2 linked regions of the Sus scrofa genome follow. The protein of the gene in region 2 purifies or fractionates together with the protein of the main gene of each other region. This does not show direct contact. Links are inferred from orthologs where the notes say so. Each region holds a gene or a part of one and is shown on either strand. Other genes may lie near its edges. The genes, in order: REEP4 and RETREG3.

What was found.
Region 1: the proteins of RETREG3 (region 2) and REEP4 purify together in Homo sapiens (affinity purification with mass spectrometry; 3 studies listed by BioGRID and IntAct, with this or other methods). This does not show direct contact. The link is inferred for Sus scrofa from reciprocal best matches to the Homo sapiens genes RETREG3 and REEP4.

Annotation. Positions count from the first base shown.
Region 1 is NC_010456.5:6,412,174-6,416,590, forward strand, and holds the start of REEP4 (receptor expression-enhancing protein 4), read right to left. Parts: upstream 2,870-4,417; 5' UTR 2,687-2,869; coding exon 2,649-2,686; intron 2,075-2,648; coding exon 2,002-2,074; intron 1,603-2,001; coding exon 1,526-1,602; intron 1,436-1,525; coding exon 1,315-1,435; intron 896-1,314; coding exon 782-895; intron 384-781; coding exon 248-383; intron 88-247; coding exon 1-87. UniProt on the Homo sapiens protein: Microtubule-binding protein required to ensure proper cell division and nuclear envelope reassembly by sequestering the endoplasmic reticulum away from chromosomes during mitosis.
Region 2 is NC_010454.4:20,230,880-20,234,686, forward strand, and holds part of RETREG3 (protein FAM134C), read left to right. Parts: intron 1-2,634; coding exon 2,635-2,741; intron 2,742-3,807. UniProt on the Homo sapiens protein: Endoplasmic reticulum (ER)-anchored autophagy regulator which exists in an inactive state under basal conditions but is activated following cellular stress.

The sequences.
Region 1 (4,417 bases), on a different chromosome or scaffold from region 2:
GCCGGGCTGGCGGCTGGGGGACTGCTTCTGTATCTGACCAACACTCCTCCTCGGTGTCACTGTCCTGTAGGCCCCCTGCCCGGTACCCTATGTGGAGGAGAAGGAGGCTGAGAGGCAAAGCTGGGCAATGACACAGTCTGAAGACCTAGGGCCGGGCCAGGCCCCCCTCTAGTGCTGGGGAGAAGCCACAGCAGGCCTGGAGGAAGCCACCCTCTTGGGACAGCTCTGGGTTCCCGTGCCTACTCACCAATGGGTGGCCTGCGGCGGGGTACCTGGTCCTCCAGGTAGAGGGGATCCTGGTAGACGGGGGTGGAGTCGTCGGGGATGGAGCGCAGGTCCTGCATGGAGAAGCTCCGCAGCCTTCCGGCCAGCGCACCCTGACTCTGCAAGGGAGGGGGCACTGCTCTAACCCCTGGAAGGAGTGGGCAGGGCTCCAGGAAGGAAGGGGCCTCGGCCTGGGCAGCAGCCCAGGGAAATCAAGGCTGACCTGCAAGTCATTCCCAGGGCACAGGCCTCAGAACTGAAAGCACCTCAGCAAGCTTCTAGCCCCGTGCCTTTGTGCAAAGCTAGGGCCCAGAGAGCAGGAGCTCATGGTCAGCGTCAGAGCCAGGAGTGTGAACGTCCAGCTCCGTGCTCCTGCCAACACCCCACCTGTCACCTCTTGCCCCTGTTCCCTGGGCACAGACAGCTGCTATCTCTTGGCTCCCCGACAGAGGGCTGGATCACCCAAAAGGTGCTGGGGGTGGGAGAGGGGCTGCTGGAGGGCTGGGGCCCAGGGCACCTTGGTGGCAGCCTGTACGGCGGCTGAAGCGGCAATGTTGAGGCCTCGCTTCCCAAAGCTGAGCACTGTCTCGTAGCTGCGCTCCTTGGCCTGCACGATGTAGGTGTCGATCTCCTATGGCCATGGGGGAAGGGACGTCAGGCTGACAGCCTGAGACCCTGAGAAGCCAGCAGGCAGCATGCCTCCCAGCCCTGCAACTTGCAGAGCACAGGACTCCCTACCCACCTACTGGCTCATGCACCTCAGTGCACGGCCCTGCCCCAGGTCCCCCCCCCCGCCACCAAATCCACCATCCCCAAACCACCCCCAGCTGGTGTTTCACACCCTCAAAAGGTCATTCACGTGTGCCCCCGTCTGCTAATCCCAGAAGAGGAAAAAGGCTAAAAGTCCTAGACATGGGACCATGTCAAGGTCCCACAGCTAAACAGCAGCAGGACTGGGACTACAGCCCAGTAATGTCTTGAACCCTGAGGCCAGGGCTCTTTCCTTCACACCCGCCCCCATGCTGCCCATCCTGCCTCCCTCCAGGGTACCTTCTCATGGCGAGACAAGGATGGGTGGACGAACTTGCGGTAAAGCAGGCTGGCCCCCTTGGTGTAGGGGGAAAGCAGCCACAGCACGAAGGCCATCTTGATCTCGTAGTAGAAAGGGAACCTGTCAGAGCAAAGGGGGTGAGGCCAGCCGGGGAGCCAGGCCAGGGAAGGCGGCTCCTCCCCACAGCCCACCTAACCCCTGCCTCCATACCAGGAAACAAAGATGTCTGTGAAGGTCTCCACCGCCATGAAGAGCGCAAAGACGATCCAGTACATCATCCACCGGACCTGGGGGCAGGGTGGGGGAGATGGCAGAGAGGTCAGAAGCCGGCAGCTGAGCCTGCAGTGCCAACTCCCCTGTCCCAGGCTGACCCGGCCCGGAGATTCCAGAAAGCCTGTCCCACGGCATTCCCCTGGCACCTGGCTGCCCTTAGAGAGTTACCTCTGAGAAACTGCCACTCATTCCTGTACCCACCCCCAACAGGCTTCACCCACAAGATTCTGCAAGGAACCCCAATAGCCCACCCTCCATCTACACCCACTCTGTTCCAGGATATGCCACCAGATTATAGGCCTCTGAGCTGGAGACCAGCTCAGACCCCTCCCACTTCACCAAATCCCACCACACCCCCTACGGCTGCTGTCCCCGCACCTGAGCCAAGCCCTCTTGCCCACTCCCACACTCACATATTCACGAATGTTCTTAGTCTTCACAGCCTTGTAGGAAGCATACGCTGGGTACAGCATCCCAAACACCAGCCTGAAGAGCAGCCCCCAAAGCAGAAAAGGCATGTGAGGGGCAGCACTCCCCACCCTGCTGCCAGGTGGCCACTCCCCCCTGGGTTCAAGACTGCAGAGCCTGCCTTGTTCTTCCCGCTTGGCTTGCACAACCTGCACCTGAGTCAGTGCCCTGGAGGCCGCCTCCCCACCCGCTGTTTACAAACATCCCAAGCCTGCCCAGGCCTGCAGGAACGGCCCATCCATGGGTGCGTGATGCAGTGAGAGTGCACACAGCTACTCCACAGGATGGGTGGGAGGCAGGCTTCTGAGCAGTGAGGGTGGCAGGCTGTTCCCTCCCATGGATGTGCAATCAAGCCCAGGGCCACCAGACCTGGCACTGGCAGGCTGCAGACAGGGATAGCTGAGCCAGGTGCTAGAGTACTGAAAGGTGATGAGTAGGACAGAGTGGGCAGGCTGAGGCCAGCGTGGTGAGTCACGTGACTGACTGCTCAGATGGGAAGCAAGCACCTGGATTCTCCACCCGCAAAGGTGCCACAACATCTTGTGTTTGCCAGGGGGCCCCTGGCTGGCCTGTGGTCCTCTGTCCCATGCACCTGGCTGCAGCGAGTGTGTGAATGCAAAGGGTCGCCATCAGCCAAGTAGGCTTGAGGGTTGGGGGACAAGCAGCCCCGCAGATCCGTTAACCCTTTCGGTGAGTGCTGAGGGGAGGGGAGAGGTGTGAGGGAGCTCAGCAAGCCCCCTTTCCCGCCAGACATTGCCAGCTTTCACCCAAGGGGCGGGCGGGCTGGCACCAGGGACAGAGGGAGTATGAGAGGGGCGGTACTCACACCACCAGACGACAGATCATCCAGGACACCATCCTGCAGCTTCAATCAAGAACGAAGGGAGATCTCTCCGGGAAGACCCCCAGACGGACGCTCACGCCAGCGCTGGAATGAGATTAAGAGTGAAGGTGTGCGAACCACAGGGGCACTCGGGCTGCCCCTGGACGGAGGCAGAGCCCTGCTGCCCACTAACTCCGCAGTGCGGGAAGCCTGAAGAATTGGGAGACCAGAGGGCCGGGACAGGCAGGAACCGACTTGGGAACCAGTACCGGCCGACGTGCTCTTCCGCCCGGCCTCGCCGTTCCCGCAGTTACCGCTCCGACCTGCACTTCCTGCCGCGGGGAACCAGGCGTTCGGCCCTTGCTGGGGCGCTGCGGCTTCCGGGCCGGGGGCGGCTGGTCGCAGCCTGGGCTCGTGCAGGTCCCCGCGGTCAGGACACCGGCACCGGCCTCGGGGCGGGGTTTGCAACTCACTTGAAAGTTGCACGGAACTGGGCTCTGCCCAACCCCAGGTCTCCAGCGCTGGGCGCAGGCGCAGTGCGGCCCCGGAGGGGGCGGGACGAGGTCGGGAGGCGAGGTGCCTGGCCCTTAAAGTGGCGATGCGCCTCGGACTCGCAGATGGGGCTGGAGGTTGAGCAGCCCTCGGACTGGGAAAGATTTGGGGGTGGGAAGCGGCAACGAAAAGGTGAAACAGAAAGAAATGAAGGAAACTTGGAGTCCAGAGTTTTCGTGGCTCTTCACTAGCCCCCTACTTTTGCCTCGTTTTTCCCCTCTGTAAAATGGGCCTGAGATGTGTGGAGGTCCCCCTTTAGAGGCTCAGGCACAAGTGGGAGGGAGGTTTGGCAGAGAGCCAGCAAATCTGGTTTTAGAGCGCTAGGTCAGGAGGTGGGTAAGTGCCTCAAAGATGCTGAGGTGCCAGAGAGGGAAAACCGGGAGCAGGTGGAGAGGGAACCCGAGAGACTCAGCATCCCGTCCCACTCACCCTGAAGAGTGGGCTTCCGGGGTGAACTGCACCCTGGGTTACCTTTCCAGGGCCCACATCCCTGGGCTGGCGGAATGGAGAGATTCTGGGTGGAGACCCCAGTGCCCAGTGCCCCCCATGTCTTCTTCTCCGGAAGTTTGAAATTCCATCAGTTTCTGTGAGTTAAGGGCACAAATATCCCTGGGAACGGAATAGTATCAACGACCACTGGTGTAGTGCATTTTTGAGGGCAGAGACTTGATCTTTACAAAGATTCCTCCCCTCCTTTTTTCGTCTTTTTTAGGAGGTTCCCAGGCTAGGGGTTGAATCAGAGCTCTAGCCACTGGCCTACACCACAGCCACAGCAACGTCAGATCCGAGCCACGACTCTCTCCATCTACACCACAGCTCATAGCAATGCCAGATCCTTAATCCACTGAGCAAGGCCAGGGATCGAACCTGCATACTAGTCAGATTCGTTTCCACTGAGCCATGAAGGGAGCTCCAAAAATTCCTTTTTTTTAACCGCTTAGGAAATAGATTCAATGGTGAAAAGTAACATGTCAAATAGCGTCTGA
Region 2 (3,807 bases):
TAGCATCGTTCTGTGAATATGTCAAGTCATTAGGTCATGTGTTGAGAAGAGGTCATTTATAAGCAGCCCTTCGTCATCCTTACCCTTGTTTGATGAGTTGCTATGATGATAGCTAATAACATTTCTACATTGTAAAACCGAATAGGACTTTGTGTTAGACATGTATTAGGTGCCTTGTATTTTCTTGACTTTTTAGCAAGATCATCTATGATATTTTTTGTAAGTGATTATGTTGTTTCTAATAACCTGCAAATAATAGTGCAAGATTTGTTATTGTTAATATCAAATATAGATGAGGAAACTGAGGTTAAGGTAATTTATTCAGGGTCACACAATGAAGAGTGGCTGTTCAGAGATACAAACTCAAGTCAACCTAACTTTTTTTTTTTTTTTTTTTTTTTGTCTTTTTGCCATTTCTTGGGCTGCTGCCGTGGCATATGGAGGTTCCCAGGCTAGGGGTCTAATCAGAGCTGTAACCGCCAGCCTGTGCCACAGCCACAGCAATGCCAGATCCGAGCCGCGTCTGCAGCCTACACCACAGCTCATGGCAATGCCAGATCCTTAACCCACTGAGCAAGGCCAGGGTTCGAACCTGCAACCTCATGGTTCCTAGTCGGATTTGTTAACTACTGAGCCCCGACGAGAACTCCAAGTCAACCTAACTTTAAAAGTCATGCCGGAGTTCCCATGGTGGCACGGTGGAAATGAATCTAACTAGCATCTGTGAGGTTGTAGGTTCGATCCCTGGCCTTGCTCAGTGGGTTAACGATCCGGCGTTGCCATGAGCTGTGGTGTAGGTTGCAGACGCGGCTCAGATCCCATGTTGCTGTGGCTCTGGCGTAACCTGGGAACCTCCATATGCTGTGGGTGCAGCCCTGAAAAGACAAAAAAAAAAAGCATACAAAATACAAGCCCACATATATTCTTAGAGTCAATTGCTTGATCAAATTGCCATAAAAATTTCTAAATGCTTATTTTCTTTTCTCCTTTTTTTATTTTTTTGTCTTTTTAGGGCTGCACCCATGGCATGTGGAAGTTCACAGGCTAGGTATCGAATCAGAGCTGCAGCTGTAGGCCTGCACCACAGCAATGTGGGATCCGAGCAGTGTCTTCAACCTACACCACAGCTCATGGCAATGCTGGATCCTTGACCCACTGAGCGAGGCCAGCGATCAAACCCATATAAATGCTTACTTTCAATTTCTATACTTACTTCCCCACAGCCTGGTAAAATCACTGGTCTGCAGACCCTGTATAGGGCAATGCCCTAGAGGCTATTTTTTTCTTTTTAGGGCCACACCTGTGGCATATGGAAGTTCCCAGGCTAGGGGCTGAATCAGAGCTACAGATGCTGGCCTATGCCACAGCCACAGCAACACCAGATTCCAGCCGCCACTGCGACCTATACCACAGCTCACGGCAACACAGGATCCTTAACGCGTTGAGCAAGGCGAGGGATCCAACCTGCATCCTCATGGATACTAGTCGGCTTCTTACCCTGCTGAGCCACAATGGGAACTCCGATAGGGACTCTTTCAAAACATAACTGCTGTAACATCATCATACCCCCAAATTAATAATACTGTCCGAATATCTTCAGATGTACTGTCTTTCATATTTCCCAGGTTTTTTTTGTAAATATATCTTTTTTCTTTTTTTTTATTACTCAGTGAATTTATCACACCTGTAGTTGTACAATGAGTAAATATCTCTTTATGGTTGATTCCTTCAAATAAGAACTAGCTTTTCCTTGATTCTGTTAATGTAATACATTACAATTACTGATTTTGTATGTTGAACTACTTTTGATGCCCGGAATAAATCCCAGGAATAGGTCCTGGTGTATAATCCTTTTAATATGTTGCTGAATTTATCTGCTTTTTTTGGCCACACCTGTGGCATATGGAAGTTCCTAGGCCAGGGATCAGACCCACATCACAGCAGTGACAACTCTAGATCCTTAACCCACTAGGCCACCAAGAACTCCTGAATTCTTTTTGATGATATTTAATTGAGGATTTTTGCATCTATATGCATAATGCTTATTGGCCTATAGTTTTAAGTGTTTTTGTCTGGCTTTGGTATCAGAGTAATGCCTTCATTAAATGAACCAAGATGCATCTGTCTTCAATTTTTTGGAAGCGTTTATGAAGGGTTGGTGTTAATTCTGAAGAACTGGCTTTTAGATGTAGCCTCAGTGCTCACTTTCTATGTGACCTTGACAAGTCATTTTGCTCTTTTGAGCCTTGGTTCCTTCATCTGTAAAAGGGTATCTAATTGAATTAGATGCTCTTTAATGCATCTCTGTCAAGTTTGTTGCCCTACACCAGGGTCTGTTTGGTAGAAACATGTTTGCTTTCATCATATCAACTTGTGTTCAAGAATGAACTTCTTGAAATTAATAGAATCAAAGACTTGAAAGTTGAAAGGCATTATTTGCTTTAGTCCTCTGCCTTTGTAGAAGCAAATTACTATCTCTACACCATAAGTAAAATAGCTGAAGTCCAGAAAGTTTGATTTTCCCAAGGTATGTAGCTAGCACTTAAGTCTGTTCACCACAGAACCATTAGTGCATGTGTGGTCTTTTCTGAAATTAGCTTAATTGGATAATGATCTGTTTTGCTTTCTCTTTAGGTTCTTTGCATTGACATCCCTTCGTCTTGTGTTTTTACTTGCATTCAGCTCCATGATCATTGTGTGTATAGATCAGTGGAAGAACAAAATCTGGCCTGAAATAAAAGGTGAGTTTGGGAGCTTTTAGAGCAATCTGAACTGAAAATGGCCTTTCTATAATTTTTACCTTTAGTTTTAGGGGTTTGTGGGAGAGCACACGAAAGTGGGAGTATCTTTTGAAGTCTGAATTATTTGCTTTAGCAGACACTTGATGGGCTAGTGCCCCATCTGTAGTTCCTTAGAGCTGAATTCCGCCGTTCCCATTGTTATTAAGCTCAGGAAATCTATGTCTACCACTTGAGATATTCCTGTGCTCATAATTGGCCTGCAGAATAAGTAGTCCTCAAGTTGTTAAAAAATAATTCTCCTCCCTGGATACTACATCATTACCAAGGTGGCATCAGTTTGCCTCTTAGGAATTTCTTTAAAGTTATTTATTTGCTGGAGTTCCTGTTGTGGCCTAGTGGGTTAAAAACCCGACATAGTGTCCATAAGGGTATGGGTTCGATCCCCGGCCTCACTCAGTGGGTTAAGCATCCAGCGTTGCTGCAAGCTGTAACATGTGTTGCAGATGCAGCTGGAATCCGGTTTGCTGTGGCTGTGACCTACAGCTCCTAGCCTGGGAACTTCCATATGTCGCAGGTGCGGCCATTAAAAGAAAAATATATAAAATAAAGTTGTCTATTTGCAAAGCACTAAGTTAGGCATTATGACTTATATAAAGTATTCTTAAGATATGTTCCTTTTCTCAAAGATGAAACATACATAAACATAAGAAAAATGATAGGAGTTCCCATTGTGGCTCAGTGGTAACGAACCCGACTAGTATCCATAAAGATGCGGGTTTGATCCCTGGCCTCGCTCAGGATCTGGTGTTGCCATGAGCTGTGGTGTAAGTCACAGACGCAACTCAGATCCTTCACTGCTGTGGCTGTGGTGTAGGCTGGCAGCTCTAGTTCCCATTTGACCCCTAGCCTGGGAACTTCCATATGCCGCAGGTGCAGCCCTAGGAAGAAAGAAAAGTTATAGAACAGCCTCAGAGATGTCACAGTGCAGTATGTAATCAGTATGTTTGTCATGAATTTTGGCCCTTGCGCTAGCCTTGAACGAAGCCAAAGATCTGCACAAGGAGAG